3 linked regions of the Oryctolagus cuniculus genome follow. The protein of the gene in region 3 binds, or shares a complex with, the protein of the main gene of each other region. Links are inferred from orthologs where the notes say so. Each region holds a gene or a part of one and is shown on either strand. Other genes may lie near its edges.

Region 1 (6,071 bases), on a different chromosome or scaffold from region 3:
TTTCTATGAAACAGAAAGAATGCCTGCCTCCTAGGAGTACTGGGAAGTGTAAGTGAATTCATGCTTGTTGTACCTGGCATATAAGGAGTAGTTAATGAATGTTAATTCCATTTTCTCCCTTTCCAAATTACTTCATAGATTTGATACTAATTCAGCCTACCAAGTATTTATTGGATCCTAAGAATAGAAAAATTATAAAGACACAGGCTTTTCCCTCAAGTTATCCATAAGCTAAGAAAGAAAAATTTTATAAACATCATACAGTGTACTTGCAGTCACAGAGCTCTGCACGAGGCAGAGATGTAGCCAGAAGGATGAAGTAACTCATGCTAAAGGGTAGGGAGAACAGAGAGGAGGACTTCCGAGAGCGACAGCGGCTCTGCGGGTGAGCTTTCGGGACAGGAGTGGTGGGGAGTCTCGGGCAGCAAACAGCGGACAGCAGAGGCTGGCCATGGCGTGGTGTCTTCTGGGAGCAGTGTGTTGTTGCTGCAGCATGATGTAAGGCCAGGGGAGGGGGAGCTTGCACTTAATGTGGGGAACTGGGGAGCTTTTGAGGCATTTTAAATAGCTGTGGGAGACAAGTGGCTGAGACTCTCACTTTCTTACTCTTTCTTGCTCTTTAAAATGAAAATAAATAAAAATATGGCTAATATGTCTGATAGCTCTAAACTCTAAAGAAATGTGAATTTTTGGCCGGCGCCACGGCTCACTAGGCTAATCCTCCGCCTAGCGGCGCCGGCACACCGGGTTCTAGTCCCGGTTGGGGTGCCGGATTCTGTCCCGGTTGCCCCTCTTCCAGGCCAGCTCTCTGCTGTGGCCAGGGAGTGCAGTGGAGGATGGCCCAGGTGCTTGGGCCCTGCACCCCATGGGAGACCAGGAAAAGCACCTGGCTCCTGGCTCCTGGCTCCTGCCATCGGATCAGCGCGGTGCGCCGGCCGCAGCGCGCCGGCCGCGGCGGCCATTGGAGGGTGAACCAATGGCAAAAGGAAGACCTTTCTCTCTGTCTCTCTCTCTCTCTCACTGTCCACTCTGCCTGTCAAAAAAATAAAAATAAATAAAAATTAAAAAAAAGAAATGTGAATTTTTGCCTTATGTGCGGCCTTAAGGAATCTCATTCTCCTGTCATTCTTTTTCTATTGAATATACTTCAAAATAAAGTAAAAATCTGCAATGTAACTCAAAAGTCTGTTTAACTCCTTGAAATGAATGCTTTAGTAGCAGTACACAATTCCTGGAGACTGTACCGATTTCTTTGTTGGTATCTACTTTTTAAATAATCTGTAAGTGTTTGCAGTTTTAAACTTTTTGAATGTACCACATTTGTTGATGACAGTTGAAAATGTATTCACATGTGATCCCATTTCTTTTCCCCCCAGCACACAGCCTGCCTGTGCAATGCCATCATTGCTTTGCTGAAAGTTCCCCTTTCATTTCAGAGATACTTTTTCCAGAAACTGCAGTCTACCAGCATCAAGGTACTATCTCCAGAACAGTAGGGTTAATACAGGTGAAAAGCCAGCTCTCCTGTGAGGTCTGAGTAGGACGTAGGTGTAGTTCAGTGCCTTACCTTTGGCTTTAGGAAAACACAGCCTTCAGCTGTAAGCCTGTCCTCCCATTATCCAGTGATTTGGTGAAGGGAATGGGGTTTCAAAGGTAAACCCTCTTCCTTTGTAACTGCCAGCGCCAAGTGCAGTGAAACGGGCATCTGGGTAATTGGAGCTCTGTTCCTTGTCTTCTGTAGCGAGGAATGAAGTAATGGTTGGGTTTTTTGGTTTTTGGTTTTTGGTGTTTTTTTTTTTCTTGAAGATTTATTTATTTGAAACTCAGAGAGAGAGAGAGAGAGAGGTCTTCCATCCACTGGTTCACTCCCCAATTGGCTGCAGTGGCCAGAGCTGCACCAATCCAAAGCCAGGAGCCAGGAGCTTCTTCCAGGTCTCCCACATGGGTGCAGAGGCCCAAGGACTTGGACCATCTTCTGCTGCTTTGCCAGGCCGTAGCAGAGAGCTAGCTCACAAATGGTGAAGCCATGGCCTGAACCGGCTCCCAGGTGAGATTCTGGCACTGCAGGTGGTGACTTAACCCACTGCACCACAGTGCAAGCTCCGAGTTAATGGTTTTTACAAAGTACCCTTCAGAAATCCTGAGCTGAGTCTATGTCTGTATCAGGCCATTAAGACCCAACCTGAAATAAATCAGATGGTCCAGTCAACATCACCAGTCCTAACTCCAAAAAAAGCATTTTTGCCTTTGAATAGCTAGTTTTAAATGCTGGCCAATGAGTAGAGTTAGCATTTTGAAATATTTACACAAAATATAAATGCTAAATTCAAAATCTGTTTTTCATTCAGAGAATAAAATTGTTGGGAAAGGGGGAGAATTTGTCTTCTAATTGTCCTTGTTTGTTAATGTCTTCAGCAAACTTTCAGATTCATTAGAATGCTTTGGATTGCAAATAACAGAGTAGTCTATTTCAAAATGCCCTGAATAATGAGATATCTGCAGATAGGAGGCCTCTAAGGCAGGGGTGTCCAGGGTGGGTTATACAGTGGCTCGGCAGCATTATCAGTGACTCAAGTTTCTCCCATCTCTTCATTCAGCAAGACTTGAGCTGTCTGTAATTGAAGTGTATTTGGGACTTTAATACATTTTTCAAGCAAAACTACTCTAATAAGTTAAAAATGTCCTTTGGCTCATGTTTGAAAATTGACTTTTTTTGTAAAAACCATGATGATTTAATTATGTAAGCGGCCCTAGAATTTTAAGTTCTTTTGCATTTGGATTTGTGTATTTCAAATTACCTAAAACCAAACAGAAAGCTGGATGAAAATTTACATGGTGTATTTGCCTACTGGAAGTGGCTCATTTTCACAAAAATGCCCCCCCACAAACGGTGGGGTATGGCCCCATTTCTGTTCTCTAATCCTGTCACCCCCAAACACAGCAGTTTGGGATGAAAAACACAATTGTGTTAAAAAGGAGGCAGTGGGGATTGGCTTTAAAGGTACATCTACCTGCTGTCCCAGCACAGGCAGACCATCAGGGGAGGGTCAAGGGCGCCAGGATGTTAATCTGTAACCAGTGGTTACCACAGAGATGCTTGTTGGGAGGAAGCTTGCTCTTGGTTGTTGGCATTTATTTTAATGTTGATATTCCAGCTTGCTCTGTCGCCATCGCCCCGGAACCCTGCGGAGCCCATTGCTGTCCATAACAACCAGCAGCTGGCACTAAAGGTGGAGGGAGTGGTTCAGCACGGATCTAAACCAGGACTCTTCCGCAAAATTCAGTCTGTCTGTCTGAATGTTTCCTCCACGCTACAGAGTAAATCCGGACAAGACTACAAGGTAACTCAGAAAAGCCGCAGTCGCGCTGCAGATGTTTCAGCTCATTGATGGACATTTCCCTCTGTTTTCCCTGGTTACGCAGATTGCGCCTCAGAAGGGATGAGGTAGACAGAAACGTCAGGCCTTGAGGAGGCTGATCAGCAGCAGCACTTCTCTTTTCCCTTGCCAGGCCAGTGGATAGACACAAAGCATCCAGGCCAACAAACATCAAAATACAAGTTTTTTACCGTTAGAACTGGAGCCTGGCAGCAAGGGCTTCCTTGTGCCTGTGAGGTCAGTACGTGAAAGCCCCCCCCCCCCCCCCAAAAAAAAAACCTACGGCCCGGCCTGGGGGAGTATCCTGCTGCCCCGAGGAGTTGCTTGAGGTTCACTGGCCCCATGCCTCCAGAGGCTGGTACTGTTAATCTCATGGAGGGTCCCTCCACAGGAATGAAGAATGAATGGCTCCTAGCCCACTTTCCCTTTTTTGGAATTTTACACTTGCATAGATAGGTCAGATGACTCATTAGGATACAGAGATCAAATAAGGTGAGATCTTAAAGGTATAACCCGTCACCCTAGGAATACGCTGCTTTGAGAAGTCGTGATGTCGTGAGGCAGGTTAAGTACTAGCCAGAATCAGGTGGTTACACCAGAGCTGTGGAAATACCAGTGGCCCAAATATCGAATGTTCCTTTCTTGAGACATTTCTTTCCAGTTCCTCGGTGACTTATCCACAGTAAATGAGCAGGGAACAGACACAGTTAATTCAGATGCTCAGGTTGGCTGTGTCCAGGTTTACGGTGGCGTGTCTGACTGGGGTCCCCAGCAAGGAACGGGTTCTGGGGAAGAGAAAAGGAAAGCATTTCCTTGCGTGGTGGTCGCCGGCTTCAAAAGCGAAGGGAAGCTCTGGCTTAGTCCATCGCTTTATTGACTTTGGTAGCTGCCCCTTTGCCTGGTCTCTGATAAACTTCGGCCTTAGAGCTCTTCCTCTTTGCCTAGACCTTAGATAGCCACCAGCAAATATTTGGTGAATGATGGAAAAACCACTTACTGTATGAAGATTACCACTGTTATGGTTGGGTAATCTCGGCTCTCACAGGAGGTTGCAGAGATAATTTATACATTTAATTTATCCCTTCTGCAGCTCTCTCCTCGCTTTGAATTTGAAACAGCAGTAACCAGGATTCTCTTTCTTCCTTGTACGCAGTAATTTTTTACTGTTAAGGAAAGATTTAGACCTAGAAGCACTGATCTGTTGTTGACTCACCTCTCAGAGGCACTGATTAAGTAAGGAAGCTGGTAGAGTCGGCCATGCGGTGCGTGATTACTGGGCCATGGTAATTGTCCTGAGTTTATAATTTAAAATGCAGCCATCCATTCAAGTGATCAGGTTGCTTGGGCCTGCTTGGTTTTTGGTTTTTTTTTTTTTCCTTTGTTTATTTGTTTTTATTCAAGAGAGTGGACCCCTAGGCCCTGGTTCATTCCCCATATACATGAATGGCCAGCCCTGCCTGAGCCAGGAGCCAGAACTCAATCCAGGTCTCCCATGTGGGTGCCAGGGACTCAGCTACCTGAGCCCTCAGCTGCTGCCTCCCAGGGTCTTTACACTGGCAGGAGGCTGGAATCGGGATCTAGACCCAGGTCTCTAGGCCAGGCACTCTGTGCGGGGCCTGGGCACCTTACCCACGAGCCCGAGCACTCACCCAGCTGGGACTACTTCCAGTGCTTTGGAGGAAATGATTCTCTAGTAGGCATATGTTGTAAGGAAATAAAAGCTACAAAAACTGAATGCGGGGGAAGGGAGAGTACTTAGATTATACATAATACTAAGATCTTGAATTGGTTGACTTCAGTTCATTTTTTTTTAATGATTTATTTATTTATTTGAAAGAGTTACAGAGAGAAGGAGAGGCAGAGAGAGAGAGAGAGAGAGAGAGAGGTCTTCCATCCGCCGGTTCACTCCCCACAATTGACCACAGTGGTCCGAGCTGCGCCATACCGAAGCCAGGAGCCTGGAGCTTCTTCCAGGTCTCCCACGCGGGTGCAGGGGCCCAAGGACTTGAGTCATCTTCTACTGCTTTCCCAGGCCACAGCAGAGAACTGGAACGGAAGTGGAATAGCTGGGACTCCAACCAGCTCCCATATGGGATGCTGGCACTGCAGGTGGTGGCTTTACCCGCTACACCACCGTGCCGGCCCCAGACTTCAGTTCATTAATGTTACATATAAATGTCCCTGGAAAACTGATCATATGATAACTGCTCATTGAGACATAAAATTGCAGGGCACATTTGTCAAATGACACTACAGAAAATTACACATAAAGAGAGAAATCTAGCCGGCACCGCGGCTCAATAGGCTAATCCTCCACCTAGCGGCGCCGGCACACCAGGTTCTAGTCCCGGTCAGGGCGCCGGATTCTTTCCCGGTTGCCCCTCTTCCAGGCCAGCTCTCTGCTGTGGCCCGGGAAGGCAGTGGAGGATGGCCCAAGTGCTTGGGCCCTGCACCCCATGGGAGACCAGGAGAAGCACCTGGCTCCTGCCTTCGGATCAGCGCGGTGCGCCGGCTGCAGTGCACCAGCCGTGGCAGCCATTGGAGGGTGAACCAACGGCAAAAAGGAAGACCTTTCTCTCTGTCTCTCTCTCTCACTGTCCACTCTGCCTGTCAAAAAAAAAAAAAAAAAAGAGAGAGAGAGAAATCTAGTCAAATATCCATTAAGGTTACCTTCATGTGTATCCTCAGAATAAG
Region 2 (6,071 bases), on a different chromosome or scaffold from region 3:
ATTATGGCATTCTTGACATTCGACTAATTGATTACCAGATGCTACTGTCATCTGCCTAAGAAGAATATACCACTGAACATTATACTTTCCTGAATGCAACAATTTAAGTCATTTCAGCTTTGTTCTAGTATGTAAATAAACAAAAGGAAAACCAAAGAGCAAAATAACAAATCCCAACATGCAGCCTGCACAAGTACTTCAGCTATTTTAAAGCTTACAATCAACCATTAATAAATATAAAAGATACCCAAATAAAAGTGGGTATATTCTCCCTGTCATATCACATTGTAATTTTTTTTCTTTCTTGACAAGTTCTTCAACAGTCTCAAATATACTTTCTTTGTAGTTCTATTCAGTTCCTTAATATTAGTTAGCTAAATGTTGCTCTCTCTTCTTCAACATGAACAACCTAAAATTGAGAACTAAACATAATCATCTATAGCCCAGCACATGACTGTGCAAACAGGTGCTTGATGAATGTTGACTGAACTGAATACAGCAAAATATGCATCAAAATAGCACAAAAAGCTATCACTATAGTCTTGGCTTTTCATAGTAAGAATGCTGATAGAGCATTACAGTTACTATTACTCTCCCCATTACTTTTAACATTTACTTATTTACAAAATAACTTTCAAGGTAGACAAAGGATGAATAAACAAATATATGTTGAAAGCAGAAGCACATAAACTCATTCTCTATAAGATTATATTTACTTAGTTCTTAAAATCAGAATTTAACATTTTTAAAAAGAAAACATCAACAAAGATGACAATCTTTTTATTGTGCTAAGTGTTTAAGGGCATTAACAACTAAAAACATAATCCTTAGCATCAAGGAGCTTAAAATTTATTTTTGTAAATGTATTTTGTACTAAGCAGAATTATCTGTTTTTACACTTTTGCAGCTATATTATAAAACACCACTCAGAATAACCCATATGATCCATTCCTTTCATTTCCACTATCCTTAGGAAAATACTTAAGGATGCTTTAGAAAATGATATGTACCAGAGCATTTTTTATGCTATCAATTCAGAAAAAATAATTAAAAAAAAAGAGTCTGGTGAACAGAGTCTATTTCAAAAGAATAATGAAAAATCACTTTCCCCCTAGAACTCAAGAATGAAGAAATTATTACTACATGAATAAGTCAAGTCATAGTCAGGAGGATAAAATTGTTGATAATTTTCAAGATGTTAAATTGCTTTAAGAGTTGTTCATTAGGCATAATCTACTTATATATTCTCAATCCTTGAATAATAAAAACAAAATAGAACACTTCAACAATTGTTCTCATTTGGGAGAGAATGAAGGGGGAGGTGGTTGTTAAACAATCTGTATTAAGGTATGACTTACCTACCATGCGACTTACCTGCAAACAACACAGGCCAGTCCCATCTCCATAGCAAAATCATCAGCACTGGTCTCTTCAAAACTGGAAAGGTCAGCTATAGCTAAATCCTTGCTGGTTTGGACAGTAATGGGAGAGGACCGTGTCTCGGATTTCTCTAGTCTAGGTTTCTTTGGAATATCAGCTCCTTCAGTAACATCTGATTTTATCTATAAAAAGTACCAATCAGAAAATGATAATAAAAGTAATATATAATAAATTTGAAATCACTGAGAGATGTTTATAGCGTGTTATGATTAATTCCATTTTGCAGACATTTTGACTTAATTAGGGACAGATTTATACACTAGACTGTGGAAGAATTATAATTAAGAGTTCAACAGACTTACATTGCATATATTTTTGCCTATTACAATGCTTTGAATTCAGAAACCATAGCAACAATAAGGCTGTTTTCAATTTTAAATTATGGACTACTAATATTAAAGATATATTAAAAAAAGTAAATAATAAGCTATCTACTAGTCATCCAGACTAAACTATTAATGTGTTCACAAAGAGCTATGTATATAAAAAGTAGCTCATAGAAGCTCCTCATAATAGAGAAAGGAGAAATAACCTAACTGCTCATCAGCAGGGGAACACAAAAACTGGTTTATTCATAGAATGAATATTATATAGTACCTAACATAAGTATCCAGATCTATATACACCACCTTAGACAATTTTCAAAAGTACATTTCGAGGACATGAAAATTTACCAAAGGATATATATGCAGAGTACCTATCCCATAAATTCAAAAGCAGAGAAAATAGTATATGTTTATTAATGTTACTATTTATTAAAAGTAAGAAAATGTAAGAGATAATATACCACATGTTGAGGGGAAGGGTTACTAAAGATATACTTAAATGTATTTTTAATTAATTGTTATAATCTTAATTACTATTTACAGGAATCATCCAAAATAGAGAATCCAAGAATTATCCATCACCTCTTAAGGTTCAGACCATCCTATAACAGAATTCATGGTTAGTCATTTACATCTTTCCTCTTTCCTCTCTCTGTTTTTTTCTCAACAACTATTACATCTGGAAGCACTGCATTAAGGATTAAAGTTTACAGTTAGAGTTTATACTCAAACTATTATATCTCCTGAGGCTCAAATATTTAGTTTTAAAAATGTTTTTAACTTTTACTCATTTTTCAAAAGGTCTACATCTACAGCCATCAGATTACATCTACTGAGTGATTATTATGTATCTACACTCACTGTTATACAAATTAGAAGTAGGCATAAAACATTGTTTCTTGTCATCTATGCAACAAATGATTTACTTTTTTCTTTTTAAATTACATCAAAACAAAATCTTACTTTATCAGCAGGTCTCTTTTCAGCTTCCTTCTTTACCTTTTCAGTTGTGAGGACCTTGCCATTATTATTGCCTGAAGGAAGACTGGATGATGTTTTGGGCTCTTGCTTAATAGAAATAGCTTTTGTGCTTGAAATTTTGGGTGGCTCCACATCCTAAAAGGTAAAATAAAAAGATACTCAAAAATTAAATACTCAGGTTGCTTAATGCATTAAAAATTCATAAATCTAAGTAATTTTCATCTAAATGTTATGACCAATATTTTAAATAACATTGAGAAAATAACTTGAGAAATTGATATACAAACTGAACATACTTAAACTAGAAAATTTAAGTTTTGACATTTGTATAAACCATGACTCTATCACTATTTTCAATATAATGAACATATCATATCCAAAATCTCTTTGTGTTCCTTTGTAATCACTCTCTTATAGGACTATATCCTGAGAAACCATACCCCATTCTTAGGCAACAACTGATCTGCCTTCTGGAGCTACAGTTTATGTTGTACTTTCTAGAAATTAATTTAACTTACTGTATGTACTCTTTTTTGTATGGCTGCTTATATTTAGCATATATATTTTGAATTCATTCATGTTGTTGAGTGTGTAGATTCATTTCTTCTTTTTAAAAGAATGTATAAAATTCATCAAGAAGTCTCTATTTATTTATTTATTATTTTATTTGAGAAGTAGAGTTACAGATAGAGAGGATGAGACACAGAGATGTCTTCCATCTGGTAGTTCACTTTCCAAATGGCTACAACAGTCGGAGCTGGGCCGATCTGAAGCCAGGAGCTTCATCCGGGTCTCCCACGTGGGTGCAGGGGCCCAAGCACTTGGGCCACCTCCACTGCTTTCCCAGGCACATTAGCAGGGAGTTGGATCAGAAGTGAAGCAGCTGGGACTCAAATCAGCATGTATATGGGATGCTGGTGCCACAGGTGGAGGCATAACCTACTATGCCACAGAGCCCACCCTGTCATTTCTTTTTAATGCTGTGGGATATAACACAATCTGTTTGTCCACTTACCTACTGATGAACATTGTTTGTACTTTGGGGCTACTGCTAATAAAGCTGTTACATACTTTCATGTACATGTATGGACATGTACTTTCACTGCTCTAGAGTAAATTTCTAGGAGTGGAATGGTCATATGGTTAGTGTATGCTTAATTATTTAAGAAACTGCCAAACTGTTCAAAAGTGGCTGTACCATTTTTCATTTCCACCAGGAAGATACGAATGTTACTTAGAATGGTTAGTCTTTTTAATTTTGAACATTCTAATAAGTATATAGCAGTATTTCCTTATGGATTTAATTCACATTTCCCTAAAAGCTAATGATGTTAAACATTTGGTCAAAAATTTTTTCCATTTAAAAAAATGAGGTTGTTTTCTTTTTCAGATTAAAGAGTTCTTCACAAGACCTTTGTTGATACGTGACATGCAACTGTTTTCTTTCAGCCTATGGACTTTTTATTCTGGCTTAAACTTAAAATTCTTACTATCATATTATCAAGGTTTTGCTGATATAGTTGTCATTTATTGTTGTTAACGGTATAAAAAGTTGATGTATATCATGCTCCTCAGAATCACCCCCAGATCTGCCAAGTAAACCTGGAATAGGAAATGCAGTCTATTTTCTGTGATAATACATAAAAGTATAAATGGAATGATATACATCAACTTCAGAATAGTAGTTACCTCTGTGGAAGAAGGGAAGGGGAGTGGGTTTCAGATCCACTGATAGCAGGGTGTGATTTAATGTTGTGCTGATTGTTTAGACCATTGTTAGTAAACTGAAACTCACAGGCCAAATCTGGCTTGCTACTTATAGCTATACTGGAACACAGCTGCAGTCATCCATTTATGTAGTATAAGAAGCTGCATTCATGCTACCATGGCAGAACTAGTTTCACCAGAGACCATCAGGACCACAAAACCTAAAATTCACTATTTGTTTCTTCATAGAAAGACTGTAGACTAAGGAAACTAATAGAGAAAATGTTAAAGCATGTCAAACTTAAAAAGTTAATCATGTATGTAACATAAAAAATTGAGGACATAATCCTGCAGCATTTGAGAAATATTATGTAATTAAGCAAAGAAGTTGCTCAAGTCATTGGTGGGTGAGTTTAAGTTCCAACTTCATTGTTCACATTTGCCTTCTCATTTATATAGAGTATCAACCAATATTTATGTTAAAATTACATTCACAAAGCTGGTTATTAATGTTTACAAGCATACTACTGTCTCCAGGTGATTCTTAGGCATGCTGAAGCTTCAATCACTCTTCTCACACAAGTTATGTTGGAAATGTTTGGATGAAAGTTAAAATTAAATTAACTTGTGCTTTTAAAATACTTATTTTCTCTAGCAGGAGAAGTGAATTCCAGTTAGCAATCTAGGGGCAGCAGGCTTTTTAATCACAACAAATTTTTGATGTGCTTTAACAGATGAACTTCCATTTTAGAATCTCACTTTATTTGGTAATAGATTTTTCCTATTTGGATAATACCAACACACAGAGCAGGATGAACTTGGTAGTGTGTTTTGTAGATCTGTACTAATGTGATACACCTTAATTTATTGACCCTACCAGAATGAGAATGAGTAGAAAAAACTGAGAGTACAATGTTTCTACTATTCAAAAGACAAAAAGGCTTGAGAGTACTAGAGTTACTGTTGAAAAAAAGACTAGAAAAAAACATGAATGTTTACTTGGGTGCTAAGTATGAAACCTGACCCTGTCTTGAGCATCAGATTCTAAACAGACTTGAAGTAGTCGGGTAGTTCTATATTCCTCTTCTCAGCTTGGTTTCTAGGCCCACAGACCTAGGTCACTTGGAGTTACAGGGCTAGGGTATAGAGATTTGAAAGAATACTTAGTAAGTATTAGAGAATAAGTATTGTCATTTATAGCAGCATATTATATACCAGGTAGATACTAGTCTAGGTGACTTACAGTATTTCTCTTAATTTTGTGTAAAATGGGATTTCAAATAGGTTTGTCTGGCTCCAACTGTGCATTCTTTTCATATAAAGCTACCAATGGCTGCTTTGTTATTATCAAGATTGGAGTTACATAGTTCTCAGAGTTTATTTACACCTCCTTTCTTCTTAAATTATCTACTTATATTTAATTTAGTTTTTTGAATAATCCCTTTCCTTTTACTTTGTTAATATTTGGCTTTAAAACATTATAGAGAATAATCAGAAATTGTGGTTACATTCAGCAGCTTAAAAAAGTCTTTGTGACCATAAAGAATTGGAAATTATGTGGTAAACAAGTGGGTATCTATAAACATAAACTAGTAGAATAGAATACTACCCACATCA
Region 3 (6,071 bases):
TATTTCAAGTAGCCAACAATGCATGTCAAAAAAATGAATGCAAGATCACAACAGTCTTGTATTTACTTTGTATTTGGAGAAGACAGTGAAATAAATGGCCACATTCTATTTTCTTTTAATTGCTATTAATGTGGTTGATCTGATTAGCTCTTCGATGAATTTCATCCAAGAAGTTCTCCAGTTGTTCTATTAGCATTCGTTTTTTAAACCTGTATAAAAATATAAATAATAACATTCTCAATTGCTTTTCTAATGAATGGCATGTTATGATGTTTAGAAAAGGGCAAAAAACTGTTTTTGGAAGATTTTTCAAAGTGAAATGAAAACCAAAAAAATCAACAATCCATGACATAAAAATCTGTTGGAAGATTAGCATGTTCTTTTATCAATACACTTTTGATAGATTATCCCTAAAACAAATAGTCTAAGCCCAGAAATAACAGGAATGAGTTTATCCCTTCTACAACTTTTGAAAAGGAAAAAAAATCCTACCATCTGTAGATTGGATATATTCTAGGAAAATTGGGATTCCCAAAGCAATTATTCCAAGAGCTTCTCAAACTCTTTGAAAGGCATACAAAGAAAGTATAATTCTCCACAAAAAAAAAGGAGAAATTAAAAAAGACAGTAATGTTTAAAAACCATAATGTTCCATTATTATAATTTAAATAGTCAGCAAATCAATAATTAGACATATGTTACAGAGGGTATAGCAAGCACTTAATGTTCACAAAGTAATTTTTTTTAAAAATTTTCAGCAATAAATATAAGTAGACTACAATTACAGTCCTCTACATGAATATTAATCAAAAAAACTAAATTCTACTCTATTTCCTCTCTTCCTGTAACTAATATAAAGTCGCCATAATATTATACTGCTCCCTGAAAGTGGCAGAAGCATAGTAGAGGTACCAGGAATAGAACTGAATCTATGAGGCTTCATTCAACAGAACATCACCACGAAAAGCAGAGAAAGCTAATTTGCTAAAATTGTATAGAAAAGTTATGGTCTTATCTTGATCTTTCAAAGTAGTTTATGCTCTAGCCACTCCAGGAAAAAAAAAATTGCTTTATCTAAATCCTTTACATGTAGCAATAAAGAGATGGAAGATTAATCAAAACATGAGTATGTTTATATTTGAAAGTCAGATGAGATAAACCATAAATCTTCTAATATTAAAATTCTCAAGGTCTAGAAGGAAACACTAAAAATGTGTGTAAACTCATACAAGTATGCTTTCCAATTAACTATACTTTGTAGTTACATTTATAATTTTGATCCACATTCCTTGTCCATAGTCCTGGGCTACTGAAACAATCAGATTAAGGTCCATCTGTCCAACTCTGGTCCCCTTAATAACATGTCTTCCTAGGGCCAAAACTGCGGCATAGCAGGTAAAGCCACTGTCTGCAGCACTGAAATCCCATATTGATATCGGTTTGAGTCCCAGCTGTTCTTCTTCCTATCCAGCTCCCCGCTGATGTGCCTGGGAGTGCAGTGGGAGATGACCCAAATCCTTGGGACCCTGCATCCATTTGGGAGACCCGGAAGAAATTCCTGGTTCCTGGATTTGGATTGGCCCAGCTCTAGCCATTGTGGCCATTTGGGGAGTGAACCAGTGGATGGAAGATATCTCTCTCTCTAACTCTGCCTTTCAGATAAATAAATCCTTTTTTGTTTAAAAATGTCTTCCCATGCAAAAATGAACTGTATTCAAATACTGTCTTCCTAAGTTACTTCTAATTACTGATTGACATATAAAAGAGAAAAATTAAGGCCTATAAAATATGAAGACACCAAAAAGCTAAAGAGGTTAAATAAGAATTATGAAAAAAAACTAATAATTTGCATGGAGAAAAGGTTCATAATTCTTGAAGGATTTGTGTATCTACTTTTTAAGTGAACTGATTTCAGTAAACAGAAAAAAGTTCTCCTATGTATTTGTGTCATAAACATGCATAAACACAAATGCATGATGGGTACTAGTAAAATATTTTCTATAAGTATAAACTGGGGACCCATTTCATCACCAATTCATATTGTATAAAATAATCTGTTTACCTTGATGCTTCCTTAATGACATTTTGTAAAAATATTAGTCTTGTTTGTAAACTGCCTTGCACATGCTTCAGTAAAGTGAAGATTCTTTCATATTCTTAAAACAAGAGAAGCAAAAAGAAAAATTAAATGCCTTTCAGCATTAACATATACTGGAACAAACAAAAAGATACAATGAAACAAAACATTCTACATAAAAATTTCACTACTCCGTTTTACAATACATTTTAACATAGACTTGTGAGAAAAGTATGTGTCAACAAAGATAAAACAACTTGTTAAGCAATGCTTTTTTGGGTAAAAGTTCCCATGAAGGTATCAAACATAAAGCTTAGAAGAATGAGTTACACGGCTTTTTTGGTAGTACCACTGACAAGAAAAAGGCAAGTGGCCTTTTCAGAAACAAAAACCCCAAACAGTATAAGAACGCTACTTCAGTTTCAGGTTTTCACACACAACCCTGCCAAGGACTTATACACTCCTAAATGCCAAGTTCTCTGAGTCTTACCCACTTCTGGACCACTACAGGTCATTTTTGCACTATCAGAGCAAGTGATCTATTAACATCTTCTGAATGAATCCAAATAATATCGAATTTGATTACCATGAAGTACTTCTGTACTAATATAATTTAGCTTTTTGGCTTAAGGATATTGTTGGTCACTATCATAGTTTAAATCTGAAACACAACGTACATTCTGTAAACAATATAGACATGAAGTCATTTAATACTATAATTTTTGGGGTTGGCAGGTTAAAATACTATGGGTTCCTGTCATGGTAGGAACCCCACACACAACCCATCTATAGTTTTCTTCAGCTCTCAGTTCTTACTAATCCTAACTCACTCAATTCCATAATCCTTTAGCTTCCATGACATTAACTTCTATCATATGTAGTACCCTGGACATTGCAGATAGTAAGTGTTTGCCGAATGAACAAAGAATCAATCTTAAATGGTTTAAATACTGCTCAAGACCATGGTGTATGCTTTCAGTAATTCAATCTGTTTTCTGAGCACATATAGAAATCAAATCTGAGGTTTGGCCAATTATACATACTTCTTCCTGGTTTTCGGATCTCTTTCATTATTTGTGCTTTTAGTTCAGTGTTGACCTCTTCATGGCTTCTGCAATGCATCAATTTCTTTCCTTTGTTGAGTGAAGATGCTGGTATGTTCTCCTCAGCACACTGTTCTTTATCTCTTGGTTCCTCATGATTTTCTAAAAATCCACCAACACTGAGGTCATTAGTTCCTAAATGATCATGACCAAGAGCCTCTGTATGATTGGTTGGTCGTTCCAGTAAATTGGCTGGAGAAGATGATGTTGAAAATTCAGTATCCATAGCATTTGGTGTAACATCTGATGAAAGTTGGTCTGCAACATGATTTTCAATCACATCATCTATTGTTGAATCATTAGTGGTTTCTGAAACTAAAAACAAAGGAGAAAAATGCTGAGAGCCAATTTGAAAGCACATGGTAAAGAAAGTCAATCACAACTTCTATCTTTGACTAAGGTAAATTAACAAATGATGAGATCTGGTTCTGAAGCTTTGTCAAAGATATGGTGGACTTCAATGTGCAACATTCACAATATTCACTAAATCTGTACACTTTTCTTAGAAAAAAAAAACAAATCAAAAAGCCAATTCTAACTAGATTTTAGTCCTCTGTTTTATTCGACAGTTTTATTGAAGAAGATTTTTTTTAAATTTTTTTTATTTTTTTTGACAGGCAGAGTGGACAGTGAGAGAGAGAGACAGAGAGAAAGGTCTTCCTTTTGCCATTGGTTCACCCTCCAATGGCCGCCGCAGCCAGCGCACCACACTGATCCAATGGCAGGAGCCAGGTGCTTCTCCTGGTTTCCCAGGGGGTGCAGGGCCCAAGCACTTGGGCCATCCTCCACTGCACTCCCGGGCCACAGCAGAGAGCTGGCCTGGAAGAGGGGCAACCGGGACAGAATCCGGGGCCCCGACCGGGACTAGAACCCGGTGTGCCGGCACCACAAGGCGGAAGATTAGCCTAGTGAGCCGCAGCGCCAGCCCTGAAGAAGATTTTTAACACTTCAGTAAATACATGTGATGTAAATTATCATGGTCATCTTTATCTTAGAGAGCTTCAGCTCATTCTGATGATCTATTACATCTGTTACCAGTTAGAGGCAAAAGTAAAACATTGAACGGTTTTCGCTCTTCCCAACTTTGCAGAGAACATACTACCGAACAGGTCACGTTTCTCAGTATACCATTCCTTCTGACCAGCCAGCCAGTCCTCAAGAATTGAACAGTGCAGAGCCACTTGCTGTCTACTTCATTAGACCATTGCACCCACACACTTGCAAAGTTACCAGTTAACACCAGGTTATTATACTTGGTCCCCAGAAAAGCAGCTGAATTCCAAGTCCTCAAGGACCAAAGCTGAATTCGTCTCTGCTGTCCTCCTTACACTATCTCCAAATGTCAATTCCTGGTTTACTCACACTTCCCTGTACTCAGCCCCACAATCCCCTGAACACCTAAATCCAATTTTGTGCCTGACTAACTCCTCTTTACTGGATATTCTCTACAATATTTTACACTTTGAGACTCAGTGCTCCTGTAAAGAAACTGCACTCCTTTTCAGACCAGCAGTAAAAACTGCTCTCCCTCACACACTCTTCACGTGCTTAAAATCTCCACATGGGGTCACAGATTCTTTTGCCTCCCCATGTCCTTTCAAGATTTCTTCGGGCACTCATGTAAAAATTCTTGCTCCTTTGAGGCTCAATGATGCCACTCATCCTCTCTCTCCTCATTACTACCCTATAACTTCAGGGCACATTCTTGGAGCCAGTGATGTCTTTGGCATCTGGTTCACAGCCTTCTTCTTATCCCCAAGTCCCTCCTGACAACAGATCCTTACTACTCAAAGTGTGGTCTATAGACAAGCAGCATTGGCACTGAGCGCCATCTCAGACTGAAGGAACAAGCACCTGCAATTTAACTAGACCCCCAGATGGTTCACATGAACATTAAAGTGTGAGAAGTGCTGTGGTGACCAGTGTCTAAGCAGATCACATGCCAAGAATCTGGCCTCCCATTCCCTGATTTTTTTTTTTTTTTTTTTTTTGACAGGCAGAGTTAGTGAGAGAGAGAGACAGAGAGAAAGGTCTTCCTTCCGTTGGTTCACCCCCCAAATGGCCACTACAGCCGACGCTGTGCTGATCTGAAGCCATGTGCTTCCTCCTGGTCTCCCATGTGGGTGCAGGGCCCAAGGACGTAGGCCATCCTCCACTGCCCTCCCTGGCCACAGCAGAGAGCTGGACTGGAAGAGTGGCAACCGGGACAGAATCCGGCGCCCCAACTGGGACTAGAACCCGGGGTGCCAGCACCGCAAGCGGAGGATTAGCCAAGTGAGCCAGTGCCGGCCCCCCAATTTCTTAACTCCAAAGAGCTGCCTCCCCACCCAACCAATTCACATTCAGGGATGCAGGAGCACAGCCCTCATCTTTGAAGGGCCCTGGCTACGGTTCTCTAGCTCAGCCACTCCTCTACTTTCTCCCTCCTTTTAATTAGAGCTGTTCTAGACAGTGGCTTACCAGCCAGGCCTATCTCTCATGATACATCACTATTATCAATGTCTTTACTTCTCTTGTTCCATAGTCCTCCTAGGACACATGCTAGGCAAAACCTCAAGCTTCATGACTCATTATGTACCTCCTTCCAACCTGCATTCAGGAATGGTAAGCACTGACGGAGAAACAGGACCCTGCTCCAGAGTGGTCACAGTCACTATCAGTCTGCAAGTGCTCGGCACTGACCAGCAATCTTTTCTTCCCCTTCTGCAAAGATTATTCAAACTTCCACCATCCGCTTCAAATCTGACTTTCACTTTGACTCCCTTTCCCTCTCAGCAGTTTATCTTCTATATCAGAGAAGAAAAGCAAAGCAAAGTTGTAGTCCAGGAACTTCCTCTATTCCCCCTACTAAACTTGTACCCATACCCATGCCAGGCAATGGAAGCAGCAGT

Evidence for each region. The genes of interacting proteins can lie anywhere in the genome.
Region 1: INTS6 (region 3) and INTS7 share a complex: the UniProt entries of both Homo sapiens proteins name them as parts of the integrator complex. The link is inferred for Oryctolagus cuniculus from reciprocal best matches to the Homo sapiens genes INTS6 and INTS7.
Region 2: INTS6 (region 3) and INTS12 share a complex: the UniProt entries of both Homo sapiens proteins name them as parts of the integrator complex. The link is inferred for Oryctolagus cuniculus from reciprocal best matches to the Homo sapiens genes INTS6 and INTS12.

The regions. Positions count from the first base shown.
Region 1 is NC_091444.1:26,468,739-26,474,809, reverse strand, and holds part of INTS7 (integrator complex subunit 7), read left to right. Parts: intron 1-1,376; coding exon 1,377-1,475; intron 1,476-3,155; coding exon 3,156-3,341; intron 3,342-6,071. UniProt on the Homo sapiens protein: Component of the integrator complex, a multiprotein complex that terminates RNA polymerase II (Pol II) transcription in the promoter-proximal region of genes.
Region 2 is NC_091439.1:59,480,528-59,486,598, reverse strand, and holds part of INTS12 (integrator complex subunit 12), read right to left. Parts: intron 2,883-6,071; coding exon 2,730-2,882; intron 1,563-2,729; coding exon 1,375-1,562; intron 56-1,374; coding exon 1-55. UniProt on the Homo sapiens protein: Component of the integrator complex, a multiprotein complex that terminates RNA polymerase II (Pol II) transcription in the promoter-proximal region of genes.
Region 3 is NC_091440.1:70,752,294-70,758,364, forward strand, and holds part of INTS6 (integrator complex subunit 6), read right to left. Parts: intron 5,967-6,071; coding exon of another isoform or gene 5,917-5,966; exon of another isoform or gene 5,824-5,916; intron 3,496-5,823; coding exon 3,121-3,495; intron 2,157-3,120; coding exon 2,063-2,156; intron 210-2,062; coding exon 116-209; 3' UTR 67-115; exon of another isoform or gene 1-66. UniProt on the Homo sapiens protein: Component of the integrator complex, a multiprotein complex that terminates RNA polymerase II (Pol II) transcription in the promoter-proximal region of genes.